3 linked regions of the Saccharomyces cerevisiae S288C genome follow. Changing the gene in region 2 together with the main gene of any one other region gives a genetic interaction. Each region holds a gene or a part of one and is shown on either strand. Other genes may lie near its edges.

The links. A genetic interaction does not mean that the proteins touch.
Region 1: mutations in ACH1 (region 2) and LSC2 together harm fitness more than expected from each alone (negative genetic interaction), as found in Saccharomyces cerevisiae (3 studies listed by BioGRID).
Region 3: mutations in ACH1 (region 2) and PDB1 together harm fitness more than expected from each alone (negative genetic interaction), as found in Saccharomyces cerevisiae (3 studies listed by BioGRID).

The regions. Positions count from the first base shown.
Region 1 is NC_001139.9:977,148-982,039, forward strand, and holds LSC2 (succinate--CoA ligase (GDP-forming) subunit beta), read right to left. Parts: upstream 2,173-4,892; coding exon 889-2,172; downstream 1-888. Other genes in the region: MPC3 (mitochondrial pyruvate carrier), read left to right, coding at 189-629; SDA1 (Sda1p), read right to left, coding at 2,618-4,892. UniProt on the Saccharomyces cerevisiae protein: Succinyl-CoA synthetase functions in the citric acid cycle (TCA), coupling the hydrolysis of succinyl-CoA to the synthesis of ATP and thus represents the only step of substrate-level phosphorylation in the TCA.
Region 2 is NC_001134.8:192,062-197,179, forward strand, and holds ACH1 (acetyl-CoA hydrolase), read left to right. Parts: upstream 1-2,060; coding exon 2,061-3,641; downstream 3,642-5,118. Other genes in the region: mitogen-activated serine/threonine-protein kinase FUS3, read left to right, coding at 390-1,451. UniProt on the Saccharomyces cerevisiae protein: Presumably involved in regulating the intracellular acetyl-CoA pool for fatty acid and cholesterol synthesis and fatty acid oxidation. It may be involved in overall regulation of acetylation during melatonin synthesis.
Region 3 is NC_001134.8:664,265-668,910, forward strand, and holds PDB1 (pyruvate dehydrogenase (acetyl-transferring) subunit E1 beta), read right to left. Parts: upstream 1,990-4,646; coding exon 889-1,989; downstream 1-888. Other genes in the region: YBR220C (uncharacterized protein), read right to left, coding at 1-413; YBR221W-A (uncharacterized protein), read left to right, coding at 2,274-2,378; PCS60 (Pcs60p), read right to left, coding at 2,456-4,087; TDP1 (tyrosyl-DNA phosphodiesterase 1), read right to left, coding at 4,399-4,646. UniProt on the Saccharomyces cerevisiae protein: The pyruvate dehydrogenase complex catalyzes the overall conversion of pyruvate to acetyl-CoA and CO(2).

The sequences.
Region 1 (4,892 bases), on a different chromosome or scaffold from region 2:
ATATATGCGGCTGCGTGCGTGTATTCTCCCGGATAATATGGTGCGTTGCAATTGGAGTATTGGAGAAAATTTTCTTTTCCCTTTCATTACGGCGGAAATACTTCATATAAAAAAAAAGAATACAATCAGTCTTTAAGACTATACGCATAAGCATTCAAGACACATAGAAACACAAACCTATATTTTTAATGTCAGCATCAGCTTTTAATTTTGCCTTTAGAAGATTTTGGAATAGTGAAACAGGCCCTAAAACAGTACACTTCTGGGCCCCAACTTTGAAGTGGGGGCTGGTCTTCGCAGGGCTAAATGATATTAAGAGGCCTGTTGAGAAGGTATCAGGAGCACAAAATTTATCTTTATTAGCGACGGCACTGATTTGGACGCGTTGGTCGTTTGTCATCAAGCCCAAGAACTATCTGTTAGCTTCCGTCAATTTTTTCCTGGGTTGCACTGCAGGCTACCATCTAACAAGAATTGCTAACTTTAGGATACGGAACGGTGATTCTTTTAAACAGGTTATTCACTACATAATAAAAGGGGAGACTCCTGCAGCCGTCGCAGCAAAGCAAACTGCATCCACATCGATGAACAAAGGTGTGATCGGTACTAATCCGCCAATAACGCACTGATTACGTAAACGATAATATGTTCCTGAACTCGCATTTTTTTAATGATTTTTTATGACCTCTTATATATTCTTTCATTATATAACCTCTATATTACATCAAAAGATGGAAAAATATAAAAAAATTAAAAAAAAAAAAAAGAAATTTTTTCCAAAAGAGTATATTTATATGTATGTATACATGTAGGGAAAATAAGAAACTTTATTAATAGTAAAAAAGCATATATACTTTATTATTAACTCTTTTGTTTTTCTCGAGAAGCTTAATTTTGGGTCAATTCAACGACCTTTTTAGCAGCAGGATCTAATTCATCAAACGAATAAATCTTCACGCCTGACTTATTGATAATGTCGCGGCCTTCTTCTACTTTGGTACCTTGCAAACGTGCCACAATGGGGACCCTAACTTCTAGTTCTCTGGCGGCTTCTACCAGCCCCAGGGCAACATAGTCACATCTTACGATACCGCCGAAAATATTGACGAAAATTGCATCTACGTTCTTATTGGATAAGATCAATTCGAAACCTTGTTTGATGGTCTCAGGGGTGGCACCACCACCACAATCCAAAAAGTTCGCAGGATCGCCTCCATTTAATTTGATGACATCCATAGTAGCCATAGCCAAACCAGCACCATTGACTAAACATCCAATGTTACCCTTCAACTTAACAAAATTCAAATCATACTTCTTTGCCTTAACTTCATCAGGATCTTCTTGTGATAAGTCCCTCCAGGAATATATCTTTTCCTGTCTGAATGATGCGTTATCATCAAACCCAAATTTGGCGTCTGTACACATGATTTTGTGGGTTGGATCATGTTCAATTTCACTCAAAGGGTTAATCTCCACTTGTGTAGCATCCCTTTCCATGAATATTTTATACAAATTGGAAACAGCTTTTGCTGCCTCGTCTTGTGCATCGGGACTGAAACCGAGACTCTTGGCAACATCCTTGGCCATTTGTGGGCTCAATCCCTTTGAAGTTTCAATTGAAAATTTCTTTATAGCATCTGGGGTTCTCTCAGCCACCTCTTCAATATTCATACCACCTTGACTGGACGCAATGATCATCGGTTTCTTGGTTTGTCTGTCCATTAGAATAGATAAATAAGCTTCATGCTTTGTATCTACTCTTTTCACTATATATACAGCAGATACTGGCTTCCCCGCTATTCCCGTCTGTTTAGTAATCAGGTTATGATTGAGCATTTCTTTTGCAACATCCTCTGCCTGCTGAGGACTTTCGATCATGTGAACACCGCTTTTGTAACCGGTGTCGAAGTGACCTTTACCTCTACCTCCGGTCAATGCCTGCGCCTTGATGACCAGTTTGTTAGTGTTTAATTTCTTGGCTGCTTCGAAAGCCTCTTCGGGAGTGAACGCTGGAAATCCTTCTGGAGTACCAATACCGTATTCCCTCAATAACTGAGCTGACCTGTATTCATGAATTGACAAGTGTCTCCTTGCTTGTAAAGCAGCTTGCGCGTTTAGCCTGCTTAATTGCCCACACTTTGAAATTAGGGATAAGGATTTTCTTGAGTACATTTTGTTCAGTTGCAATGCTTCAGTATTTTTTTCGATTGTATTGACTCAATCCTTATTAATCCTAACTACCTAAAAGTCAGTTACAAAAAAACTGGACTATCGCTCTATAGTCACTGTTATTTTTCGAGAGAAAACGTCAAAGTGCTGATAAGGAAAACGTCGATCTTATATAAAACCTCAAAGATGTTGACTACGCGGCAATTGAAAGGCCAACCAACTTTTAGAATACTCACTCCGCCGCTGCGGGGAAAAGCCGAGAATTCCCGATGAACACATAATCGATACCAGTTGGAGCATTTTTCTCTGTACCAAGACATAAAAAGAGTTTTTTTTAGTATCTACCTGGCTTTGGTGTTCCATTCAAGGTAGAGAAGTCCTCATACAGTTGGAGAGATGAATGTATCTGTGTATATGTATGTATATATTAATATGGCTACGATGTCGTCTAATACCCCTTCTTCTTTTGTTTGGTGATGTGTGCACGTAACACTTTTTGCTTGTCTCGTAGTGACATTTTTTGTTTACCTCTAACAGATCTCTTGTGAATAGACATAACAAAGTTCTTCCTTCTTTCTTTTTCTCTGTTGGTAGTAGAACGCATGTTGTCACGCTTACCGCGTCTACTACCAAATTTGTCTCTACCTTCACGACCTTCCAACACCTTTTGTAATCTTTCCTCACGAGACTGTTTGTATTTGATAGGGCCTGTTAGTGTACTTGCATCAACTAACTCTTCACGCTTGTCTTGTTTGTGGATACCCATTATTTTAGCAACGCTTTCCTCATTACGCAATTCTTGTAGTTTAGCGAAATCTGCCGGAGTTAAAATACGTGTAGAAGCAATTTCACGGAAGGCAGCTTCGGGATCTATATCTGCATCTTCTTGCTCATCCTTCACTTCTTTTTCATCGTCATCATCGCTTAGTTCCAAATCGGAATCTGATTCCTTGCCCTTAGCATTGTCTTTTTCATCGTCACTATCTTCCATATCAACGTCATATTCTTTATCACTATCCATGGTGACCCACTCACCGTCGACATCGTCTTCTTCGCTATCGACATCTACTTCCCAGTTGGCATCAGCGTCTTCATTTTCACTCTCTTCACCATGTTCTTTCTTCCATTTGGCTAACAGTTCGATACCAGCAATCCCTTGAACACTGTTGTCGGCACCAAATTGCGGTCTTTTTGAATCTTTACCTCCTTTCTTGGCTTCTTGTACTTCCATGGCGGCATTCTTACCACGATCCTTCTTCTTTAGCATTTCTGGTGCCACGTCTCTATACAACGCTATCAATGACTTGGCAGCCATATTGACACCTTTAGCTTTAGACCCCTTATATTCTACCAGATCCTGTAGTAGAATCTCATCGATAGCCAAAGGTGCACGAGAGCATATTTCTCTAATGGTATTAATGCCTGCAGCAGCGACTTCATTGGCAACACCGTCTGATACAAACTCGTCTGCAATCTTTCTCACCATGACATTTATAACTTCAGGAGGGACAAGATCATGACATGCTTGGGCACATGCGGACATAATTCTTGTAACATCTCTTTGTTTCGGAGTTAAGTACTTTAAAAAAAAAGTATAAATTCCTAAAACAATTAACTTATGGGTACCAATCAACCTTGATAACAGCTGCATCAAAGATATTTTTTGTTCCATGTCAAATTTGTTTTTCGTTTTGCCTGAAAGATGTTCCTTAAACAATTTTTCGGCAAATCCTTGTGGATCTCTCAAAAGGTGGATAGCACTGAAGTTTAAATACCCTTGAGGAGCACCCGGTCCGTTCTTCTTCTTCTTCTTCACAGTTTTTATGGCATTCTCCAGCTTCTTACCACGTCTACCCGTTTTTTTATTGACTTGCATCTTATGCCTTAATGCATCTAAATCAAACCCATCCTCATCCTCGGAATTTTCTTCAAAATTTTCTTCACGTTCTCTGTCAGCATCCAAAAAAAACATCACACCAGACATGACAATCTTAACATCCTGATGTAATGCTGCTTGGGTCATAATTTCTACTGTTCTTGAATCATCCCAAATACCACGTCTCCAAAGTTCTCTGGTTAATTTTGTGGCCCAGATTCCCTGGGAATCTGGTTGATCTAACAAATTAAAGCAAACGGCCTGCGTAGATTTGTTCAATTTTTGATTTTTACCATTAGTATTACAACTTTTTAATAAAGAAATTAAATTTGTATAAATGATTTTCCTCAATTCCTTGGCGTGTGAATTAACGCCGAGTGAATTACCATGGGAAGAGTAAGCAACCAATAAAGGAAATAAGCTTTGAATTAATTCCTCAGCAGTAATGACGTCCTTATTCCTTAACATCGTCAAACAACTTAAGATTTTTTCTTTCAATTCAAATGGCAAGGACTTATGGTGTTCCAGCAAAAGCTGCTTTAATTCAGACGGGAAGTTTGCAGTTTCACGAGGAAAACATGAGCAGACTTGAGATACGAAGCCAACCAATTCAATAAGTTGCGAAGTTGAAGTGCTCATGGTGGTACCGTTAGTACCTGCCATTGTAGAAGATCCATTTCCTACATCGAGCCCATTAGTGGCAGCTGCAGAATCACCTCCAGCAAGCCCATTTAACATAAAAATGTCCCTTAGCGATTCATAATGTGCATATTGTTGAAGAAACTCCTCTTGATAGGACTCTGGGTCACGCTTTACCAAATTCTGTAAAAGAATGATATTTGTTGGG
Region 2 (5,118 bases):
GGCGGATACTTTTTAGTTTGGGAAGAGTTAACTGGAGAGGGCAGTTTACTTTCACATACTCTTTTATCTTTCTGAAGTAAAATGTGATGTACCTACAAGCAATGCATAAGCTCTTGAGTTTTAGATCTGTTTCACCCTGGAACTCAAAATTCTTTTACTCGAAATTTTTACTTTTTTTTTTTTTGTTTCTGCATTCTCTCAGATTTTAGATGATGCGGTTTTTTACAGGGCATTGAAACAATTGCAGAAAAGCAACATACTAATATATCATAACTTTTTACTCTTGCCTCTCAGAAACTATATATACGTTGTAATCATTTTCTTTCTTCTAATAGCTAGTTCGTTTGAACTACAAGGAAATAAGGCAGAGAAAAAGAAAGGAAAATAATATGCCAAAGAGAATTGTATACAATATATCCAGTGACTTCCAGTTGAAGTCGTTACTGGGAGAGGGTGCATACGGTGTGGTATGTTCTGCAACGCATAAGCCCACGGGAGAAATCGTGGCAATAAAAAAGATCGAACCATTCGATAAGCCTTTGTTCGCATTACGTACGCTGCGTGAAATAAAGATCCTGAAGCACTTCAAGCACGAAAATATCATAACAATCTTCAACATTCAACGCCCTGACTCGTTCGAAAACTTCAATGAGGTCTACATAATTCAAGAGCTAATGCAGACAGATTTACACCGTGTAATCTCCACCCAGATGCTGAGTGACGATCATATACAATATTTTATATACCAAACCTTGAGAGCAGTGAAAGTGCTGCATGGTTCGAACGTCATCCATCGTGATTTAAAGCCCTCCAACCTTCTCATAAACTCCAACTGTGACTTGAAAGTATGTGATTTCGGTTTAGCAAGAATCATTGACGAGTCAGCCGCGGACAATTCAGAGCCCACAGGTCAGCAAAGCGGCATGACCGAGTATGTGGCCACACGTTGGTACAGGGCGCCAGAGGTGATGTTAACCTCTGCCAAATACTCAAGGGCCATGGACGTGTGGTCCTGCGGATGTATTCTCGCTGAACTTTTCTTAAGACGGCCAATCTTCCCTGGCAGAGATTATCGCCATCAACTACTACTGATATTCGGTATCATCGGTACACCTCACTCAGATAATGATTTGCGGTGTATAGAGTCACCCAGGGCTAGAGAGTACATAAAGTCGCTTCCCATGTACCCTGCCGCGCCACTGGAGAAGATGTTCCCTCGAGTCAACCCGAAAGGCATAGATCTTTTACAGCGTATGCTTGTTTTTGACCCTGCGAAGAGGATTACTGCTAAGGAGGCACTGGAGCATCCGTATTTGCAAACATACCACGATCCAAACGACGAACCTGAAGGCGAACCCATCCCACCCAGCTTCTTCGAGTTTGATCACTACAAGGAGGCACTAACGACGAAAGACCTCAAGAAACTCATTTGGAACGAAATATTTAGTTAGCCATCATTATCATTAAAATATCAACCCGAAGAACAATGTATACATATACATATACGTACACATATACATATGTACATATGACATACGTATTAGCCGCTGAGGACGCGGACGTATAAAAGGACAATACTTATATGGAGCTAAGGGGAGCAGTTACGCAACTCCGTGATCGCGCGCCACGGGCCGTCGGCGGCTGTTAATTGAAGAAAAAAAAAATGAAGAACCACAAGGGGTGATCCATATAGGTGACTAGCATCATCCCCTGCGACGCGCGGCCCGCCGGGCCAAAGGCGGGCAATGCGCGCTGCTGATTGGCCTCGAGGACAACGCCCTCAACCACATCCGCAACAGCCAATCCCATCGGAGCGTCAAACTACCAAAGTAGTGATTGTATGGATGACCACTGTATTGTGGACGGTAAGCGCTTGCTGGAGCAAATGTGTAATCAAGTTGCTGTGTATATATAGACGTTAGATGTGTTCTACCCCTTCTTTTGTCTTGTGCCCACCGGGCTTACATTAGCACACAAAGCAGCAAGAGACCGTCTTACTAGACAATAGCGGCAAAACAAACAACACATTTCTTTTTTTCTTTTTCACATATTGCACTAAAATGACAATTTCTAATTTGTTAAAGCAGAGAGTTAGGTATGCTCCCTATCTGAAAAAAGTTAAGGAAGCTCACGAGCTTATTCCATTGTTCAAGAATGGTCAGTACCTTGGGTGGTCCGGTTTTACAGGAGTGGGTACTCCCAAGGCAGTGCCGGAGGCACTGATAGATCACGTGGAGAAGAACAATTTACAAGGGAAGTTGAGATTCAACCTTTTTGTTGGAGCTTCTGCTGGTCCAGAGGAAAACCGTTGGGCTGAACACGACATGATCATTAAGAGAGCCCCTCATCAAGTAGGGAAACCCATTGCAAAGGCAATTAACCAGGGTAGAATTGAGTTCTTTGATAAACATCTGTCCATGTTCCCTCAGGATCTGACATACGGGTTCTACACCAGGGAAAGAAAAGACAACAAAATCCTTGATTATACTATAATCGAGGCAACGGCCATTAAAGAGGACGGGTCTATCGTCCCAGGTCCCTCTGTCGGTGGTTCTCCAGAATTCATTACAGTCAGTGATAAAGTGATTATTGAGGTTAACACGGCTACGCCTTCGTTCGAGGGTATTCACGATATAGACATGCCCGTGAACCCACCTTTCAGGAAACCATACCCATATCTGAAAGTGGACGACAAGTGTGGTGTTGACTCCATCCCGGTTGATCCTGAAAAGGTTGTTGCGATTGTGGAGTCCACCATGAGGGACCAGGTCCCACCAAATACGCCCTCTGACGACATGTCCAGGGCTATTGCAGGTCATTTGGTCGAGTTTTTCAGAAACGAGGTAAAACATGGTAGGCTACCTGAAAACCTGCTGCCTTTACAAAGTGGTATAGGTAACATTGCTAACGCTGTCATTGAAGGGCTTGCTGGCGCCCAATTCAAGCACTTGACTGTATGGACGGAAGTGCTGCAGGACTCGTTCTTGGATCTTTTCGAGAACGGATCTTTGGACTACGCCACTGCTACTTCCGTGAGATTGACTGAAAAGGGTTTCGACAGAGCCTTTGCAAACTGGGAAAATTTCAAACACAGATTGTGTTTGAGATCTCAAGTTGTCTCGAACAATCCGGAAATGATCCGTAGATTGGGTGTCATCGCCATGAATACCCCAGTAGAAGTTGACATTTACGCGCACGCCAATTCTACAAATGTGAATGGTTCCCGTATGTTGAACGGGTTGGGTGGATCTGCTGATTTCTTGAGAAATGCAAAGTTGTCCATCATGCATGCCCCCTCTGCAAGACCAACTAAAGTAGACCCTACCGGTATCTCTACCATTGTTCCTATGGCCTCTCATGTAGATCAAACTGAGCATGACCTGGACATCTTGGTCACTGACCAAGGTTTGGCGGATCTAAGAGGTCTATCGCCTAAGGAAAGAGCCCGTGAAATCATCAACAAGTGTGCTCATCCCGATTATCAAGCTTTGTTGACCGATTACTTGGACAGAGCAGAGCATTACGCTAAAAAGCACAATTGCTTGCATGAACCACACATGCTAAAGAATGCTTTCAAGTTCCACACCAACTTAGCTGAAAAGGGTACAATGAAGGTCGACAGCTGGGAACCAGTTGACTAGTGTTTGTGCGCAAACCGAGAGATGAGTATTTAACAAAAAAAAGAAAGGAAATGATATGATTATGATTTTATGTTTATAAAGCTTTTATCCAATGCGTTGTTTTTTCTTGCATATTTATACTTTTTGCGCTCATGGAGGGAGTTAATCAATACGCATGACGTCTAGTTAATTCACAGGTAGTACTGTATATTTATATGTTTACACAATAATTATGTATTAAGTAGTGATTAGTAAAAAAAACTAAGAGGTTGAAAGTCATCAACCCTTATATTAATTTCAACGAATTTCGCTGATGACGTCAGGGTAGTTCTCTTGCTTAGGTCAATGTAAAAATGCCAGGGTAATACAAAACCAAGCTCTGAACCGCCCAACTTATCTGTAATGATGCATGTATACCTTACAATGATTTTTTTTCTCCTATTATGGAATTAATATTGGAATCCATGTTTGTGAACAGCCTTCTCCGCAATTTAGCTTCAAGCTAATAAGTGGTTATTGTTTGCGCGCGCTTGAAGGCAAGGATCATCGCTTTTTTCTTCTCACCATTGAATTTAAGGGACGCCGATTAGCATAATACACTTATCAACAACAACCGGATGTGTGTTATCTATCAGTGGTGGAAGGATTGGTAAGCAATTTGGTTTGATCCAGAGGACTAAGAAAAAAAAAACGGCTCATCAAAGAAATTAGTTCAATTGAGTGGTTTAATAGACAAAGTTTGGAAAGATAACAGAAGTAGAAAAAGTAAAAATCTACACATGACACTCAACACATGTGGACAGCAAGAGGGCAGATAGATAAGTCGACACTGCAAATTGTTGTGTATGTAATAGCCCTGGGTGCAGGTTGGCCAAAACTGTTCAACAGCTCGCCCATTTGAAGGTTCAACAGGCCGCCAGAAATGTTCAACAGATTGTGCCGCTATGATACGTAACTTATATATAGCAGCGTGTATAATATTAGGACCATAATAAAATGAATGGCATGAAAATAACGACAACAATCTCAACAGCAAACAAATTCACAATACAGTCATGGGCAGCATAAACTTCATATTTGCTTTACATCTTTTAGTTGTTTTATTTTTCATCATCGCCATCCCTAGCTACGCCATGTATCCATTTTTACCATTTATCCTTACATCGCTCGTATTTGCTCGTTCTGATAACTCTAATAATCGTTATTGACAAGTTGGTTCAAGGTCAAAAATTTTGTTATTACAATCACTGAGCAATACGCTGTTTTTCCATAGTATGGAGGCATTTTTTTTTCTGTGAATGTACGTATATTTTACTGTATACTTCATTAATATTTGGGAAATAGACATATTTTAAGATTATTTTTTAGATCCTGTTTACGTAAAAGACAATAATATAGGTGTGTAAATTATACCCTAAGTTCTTCTCAAGGATGTAAGACTTCCACAAGAGAACCGGCAATTTTATATGATAATACTATTTTTTCTTTGGCTTTACAT
Region 3 (4,646 bases), 470 kb from region 2:
GTCAAATTTTTTATACTGACACTGTGTAAAGTGCCATTACCGCGATTATGGAACGCATCGTCGACACCATCGAAGATTATGCCTTGTGATATGCACCACCCTAATGCCCATAGCACAAATCCACTAACAAATTGTACTGGAATGATCCATGATCTTCTTCTACCGATGCGCTTGTTGTACAGTGAGTCTACTATTGGTGACCATATGATCTTTAAAGAATATGGATATGTAGCCATAGAGAAAATTCCCAGTGATGTAAACGAGGTCTCCTTTGCTAAAGATTTCAGTAGAAACGGTACGGTACCGAAGGCCAATCCTACAGGTATGCCTTGAGCCAAATATAACATAATTAAAAGATAAAATTGCGGCAAATCATGCTTGGCTAGTGACCCGCTCTTTCGCTTAGGTTCCATGCCTACTTTTGTTTTATCCCCCTATAACTATGGTATATTATACTGCCTCACCAAACGTTTAGGTCTTGCTTCTGCTTCCCACAGTAGCTTACGCATTATAGCCGATTTATTTTTCACTTATTTTCGCATGCCAGAGTATCTTTATTTTCTTTCTTTCATTCAGCCTGTCGTCGAAAAGAAAAAAAAGAAAATAAATATGTGCGTATTCTAACCATGAAACAGGAACTCATTCAATGTGCACAGTACTTATCTCATTCAATTTTGTAAAAACAAAATATATACATTGTATGTATGTGTGTATTTGCAGTTATATATCTACTAATAACCAGTACGCCATACATGTCTTGATTAGCAAAATATTATTTATGTTTTTCTCATTAGTACTATTTCCGCGAAGAGGGTAGAAAGTGTAGGGTACAGGGAAAAAAGTTCCCTATCTCCTTCTTTCTCTCCTTCCTATTGGATTGAAGTTTATTTATTCAATTGACAAGACTTCTTTGACAGCTTTAACGATGGTTGGAGTATCAGGGAAAGCGAAATCTTCTAATTCTTTAGCGTAAGGTGTTGGAACATCGGCACCAGTAACTCTTTGGATTGGAGCATCCAAGTAATCAAAGGCTTCAGACTCCATAACTTGGGCGACAATTTCAGCACCAACACCAAATGATGGGAAAGTGGATTCAACAGTAATCAAGTGGTTTGTCTTCTTGACAGTTTTGATGATAGCTTCAGTATCTAAAGGTCTAATAGAACGCAAGTTGATAACTTCTGCAGAGACACCATATTTCTTTTGTAGAATTTCAGCGGCTTCCAAAGAAAACTGAACGTTTCTTGTGTACGTAACAATGGAAATATCGGTACCTTCTCTTTCGATCTTAGCCTTGTATGGCAAGGTGAACTCAGGGGATAAAGCTTCTTCTGAGATTTCAAAAGATTCACCGTACAACAATTCGTTCTCTAAAAATACAACAGGGTTTGGATCTCTGATGGCGGCCTTTAACAAACCCCTAGCATCTTCAGCAGAATAAGGGACAAGGACCTTTAACCCTGGAATGGAACCGTACCAAGGAGAAAAGTCCTGTGAATGTTGAGCACCAACACCCACTGCAGCACCATTAGGACCTCTGAAGACCATTTGACATTTTTGAGTACCACCAGACATGTAGTGAGTCTTTGCAGCGGAATTGACAACATGATCGATAGCTTGCATAGAGAAATTGAACGACATAAACTCTACAATTGGCTTCAAACCCTTCAAAGCGGCACCAACGGCCAAACCTGTGAACCCGTATTCGGTAATAGGTGTGTCAACCACACGACGTTCACCGAACCTGTCCAATAAACCCTTTGACACCTTATAAGCCCCGTTATATTGTGCAACTTCTTCACCAATAAGGAAGACATCATCATCACGGTCCAATTCTTCCGCCATGGCACTATTCAAGGCCTCTCTGACGGTCATCGTCTTTGTTGATGAGAATCTCAATGCTGCTGCTGCTGCAGAGGGTCTTACAAAAGAAGTTGGGGCACGACGTGCAACATTTCTGGCCAATGATGTTGGCAGTCTGGAAAACATGTTGAACAAAATTATTGCAAAAGTAAAAGAACTTACTAAACTGCGATCGATTATCAATGAACAAACACAGGAACTGTTATGAGGGAGGCGGAATTTAACGTCCGAGTGTGTAAATGATACTAAATTAGTCTAACAAAAGGAAGAAACTTGACAGAGATAATATCAAGAGTCGCTGTTGCAATCGTTAACCTGTATATGTAGATACACCTCTTTTTATTGCAAACGTGCAAACGCATGACTTTTAATGACGGAGAACTTCTTAGTTGAAGACTCGTCTCTTTTGCATGTTCTCCCACTTCGAAGTCTCGGAAAACAGACCCCGGAAACAGCCGCGACGAAAAAGAATCAGCTTAGGCATGATAAATACTGTGGTTTCATTAGATAGATAAAATACATAAGTATTGGCGTATATAAACGGGTGCCAGATAGAAGCTTTCAGAGAGCATAAAATTGTACAGGATACTGCCTACAACTTACTCTTATTTCTGCTGCTCTTAGCAAAAGTTTCTGCGATAACTCTTCTCTGGATTTTACCTGTAGCGGTTTTTGGTAGCTTATCAACAAAGTACACCTTGGTTGGAATTTTGAAAGAGGCTAGGTGCTTCTTTAAGAAGTTCACCAGTTCTTCGTAGGTCATTTTTTCTCCCTTCTTCAAAACAATGGCGGCTTGAACTACTTGGCCGTACATATCGTCGGGAACACCAAATGCAACGGCTTCATCGATCTTTGGATGCGATAGCATAATGCCGTCGAGCTCAATGGGTGAAATCTTTTCACCACCCCTGTTGATAAGCTCTTTGATTCTGCCTGTAAGGACCAAAAACCCCTCAGGGTCGAAATAACCTTGGTCACCGGTTCTGAAATAGTTCTCTCTCTTGGTGAAGTTCTCCTTGTTAGCTTTTGGATTATTAGCATACCCCAAAGTGACGTTTTCGCCTCTGATGGAAACTTCGCCGACTTTGCCCGGGGGCAAGACATTGTCATTGTCATCTAGAATGACGACGGTGACTCCTTGTGGCTGGCCCACAGTACCAGGCTTTCTCTTTCCTGGAGGCAGATTGTTTGAGGTCATTTGATGTGATGCTTCGGTCATCGCATAGGCCTCCAAGACAGGTGCATTGAATTCCTTCTCCAGCTTATGGAACGTTGCTGGAGCCAAAGCAGAAGAACACGATCTGATGAATCTAATGTGTGGGAAAGGGTTTGGTTTGGGCATGTTCAGCATAATCATGCTTATTGTGGGAACGCAACTGAACCAATTACAGTTGTACTTAACAAATTGGTCCCAGAATAACTTTGGATGGAATCCATCGGGAACCACAACAGAACCCTGAGTTCTAAAAGTGGAAAGTAAAACACCAATTAACCCATGGACGTGGAAAAGAGGCATCACGACATAAGATCTGTCCAAGGGCGTTAGCTTGTAAGTGTTAGCAATGTTCAACGTGCTTCTCACAATGTTCAAATGTAACAAAGGCACCGTTTTTGGAGTGGAGGTGGTACCACTGGTATGCAAAATCAGGGCAACGTCACTGGAACGGGCAAACCCAGGGAATTTAACGGGATTTGTGTTGACAAATTTGGCGTTGTTCAAAGACCGGTAAATAACCCTTTTGTAGTTGTCCTCTGGAGAGTATATATCATACTCTACCCTAAACCTGGTCGCATCGAAGGCCAGCTCTACGATAAAACATCCAAACGTGGAGGCAGATTTTAGAATTTCAGAACTCTGTAACTTTGTGGTACCCTTTGGGACGCAAATCGCCTTAGATTTCAGGTCATTCAAATAAAAATTGAACTCCTTTTCCTTATAATTGGGATTCAAGGGCGCGCCAATTTTAGCGTCCATAGTAGCACCGAGGAAAGCGACGATAAATTCCAGCCCATTACGCATGGATATCGCCACTGTATCTTGTCTGAAAACAGCTCCGTACAATGGAGAATTAGGATTTGTGAACATGGTCTGGAAGTGACCCACCATGTGGGATAGATCCCTGTAGGTCACCTGAGTGTCCGTTTCAGGAACAATAACGGCGACATTATCGGATACGCTAAAAGTATCGTTGAACGAAGCAGTAACAGTAGCGGCACTTGTCATTGTAGCAAAAATGTGCGTGAAGCGTCTAACCTCTTGCAGCACAGTGGGAGTAAATTTCAAGAAGGAGCATCTATTAAAAAGAGCTTTTAATCATACCATCTCTATTTATATACAGTTAATCTTGAAAAATAAAAAAAGACCGAATAAAGGACTCGGAAGCTTTAGCTCGGAATAGTTAAAGACGCTTTCGGCCCGAGAAAAAAATATTCTGAGCACCAAAATCCAATCGCCTGAAGTTTATCAAGTAAATTTGCCATTCCTGGCCCCATATAGTGATGCCTAAGTGGACAGCAACATCGCGCTCTTACTTGTTAGTCGTTCTCATGACGAGCAAGGCAAAAGCACTCGTCCTCAGCTAAGTCGTATGGTATGACTGGCAGCGTGAATGGCACGGCCACATGGGTGGGATTACCCGCGCAGCCTCTACGGTCACGTGTAAAAGTACGGCACGTGACCTTCCTGGTATTTGCTAACCTGCGACTATGGTAAAGCACTCCTGCTTCATAATTGCGTGGTTTTCTTGAAACGGTGCCCCATGCTGTTTGGCTGAGGTTTGCCG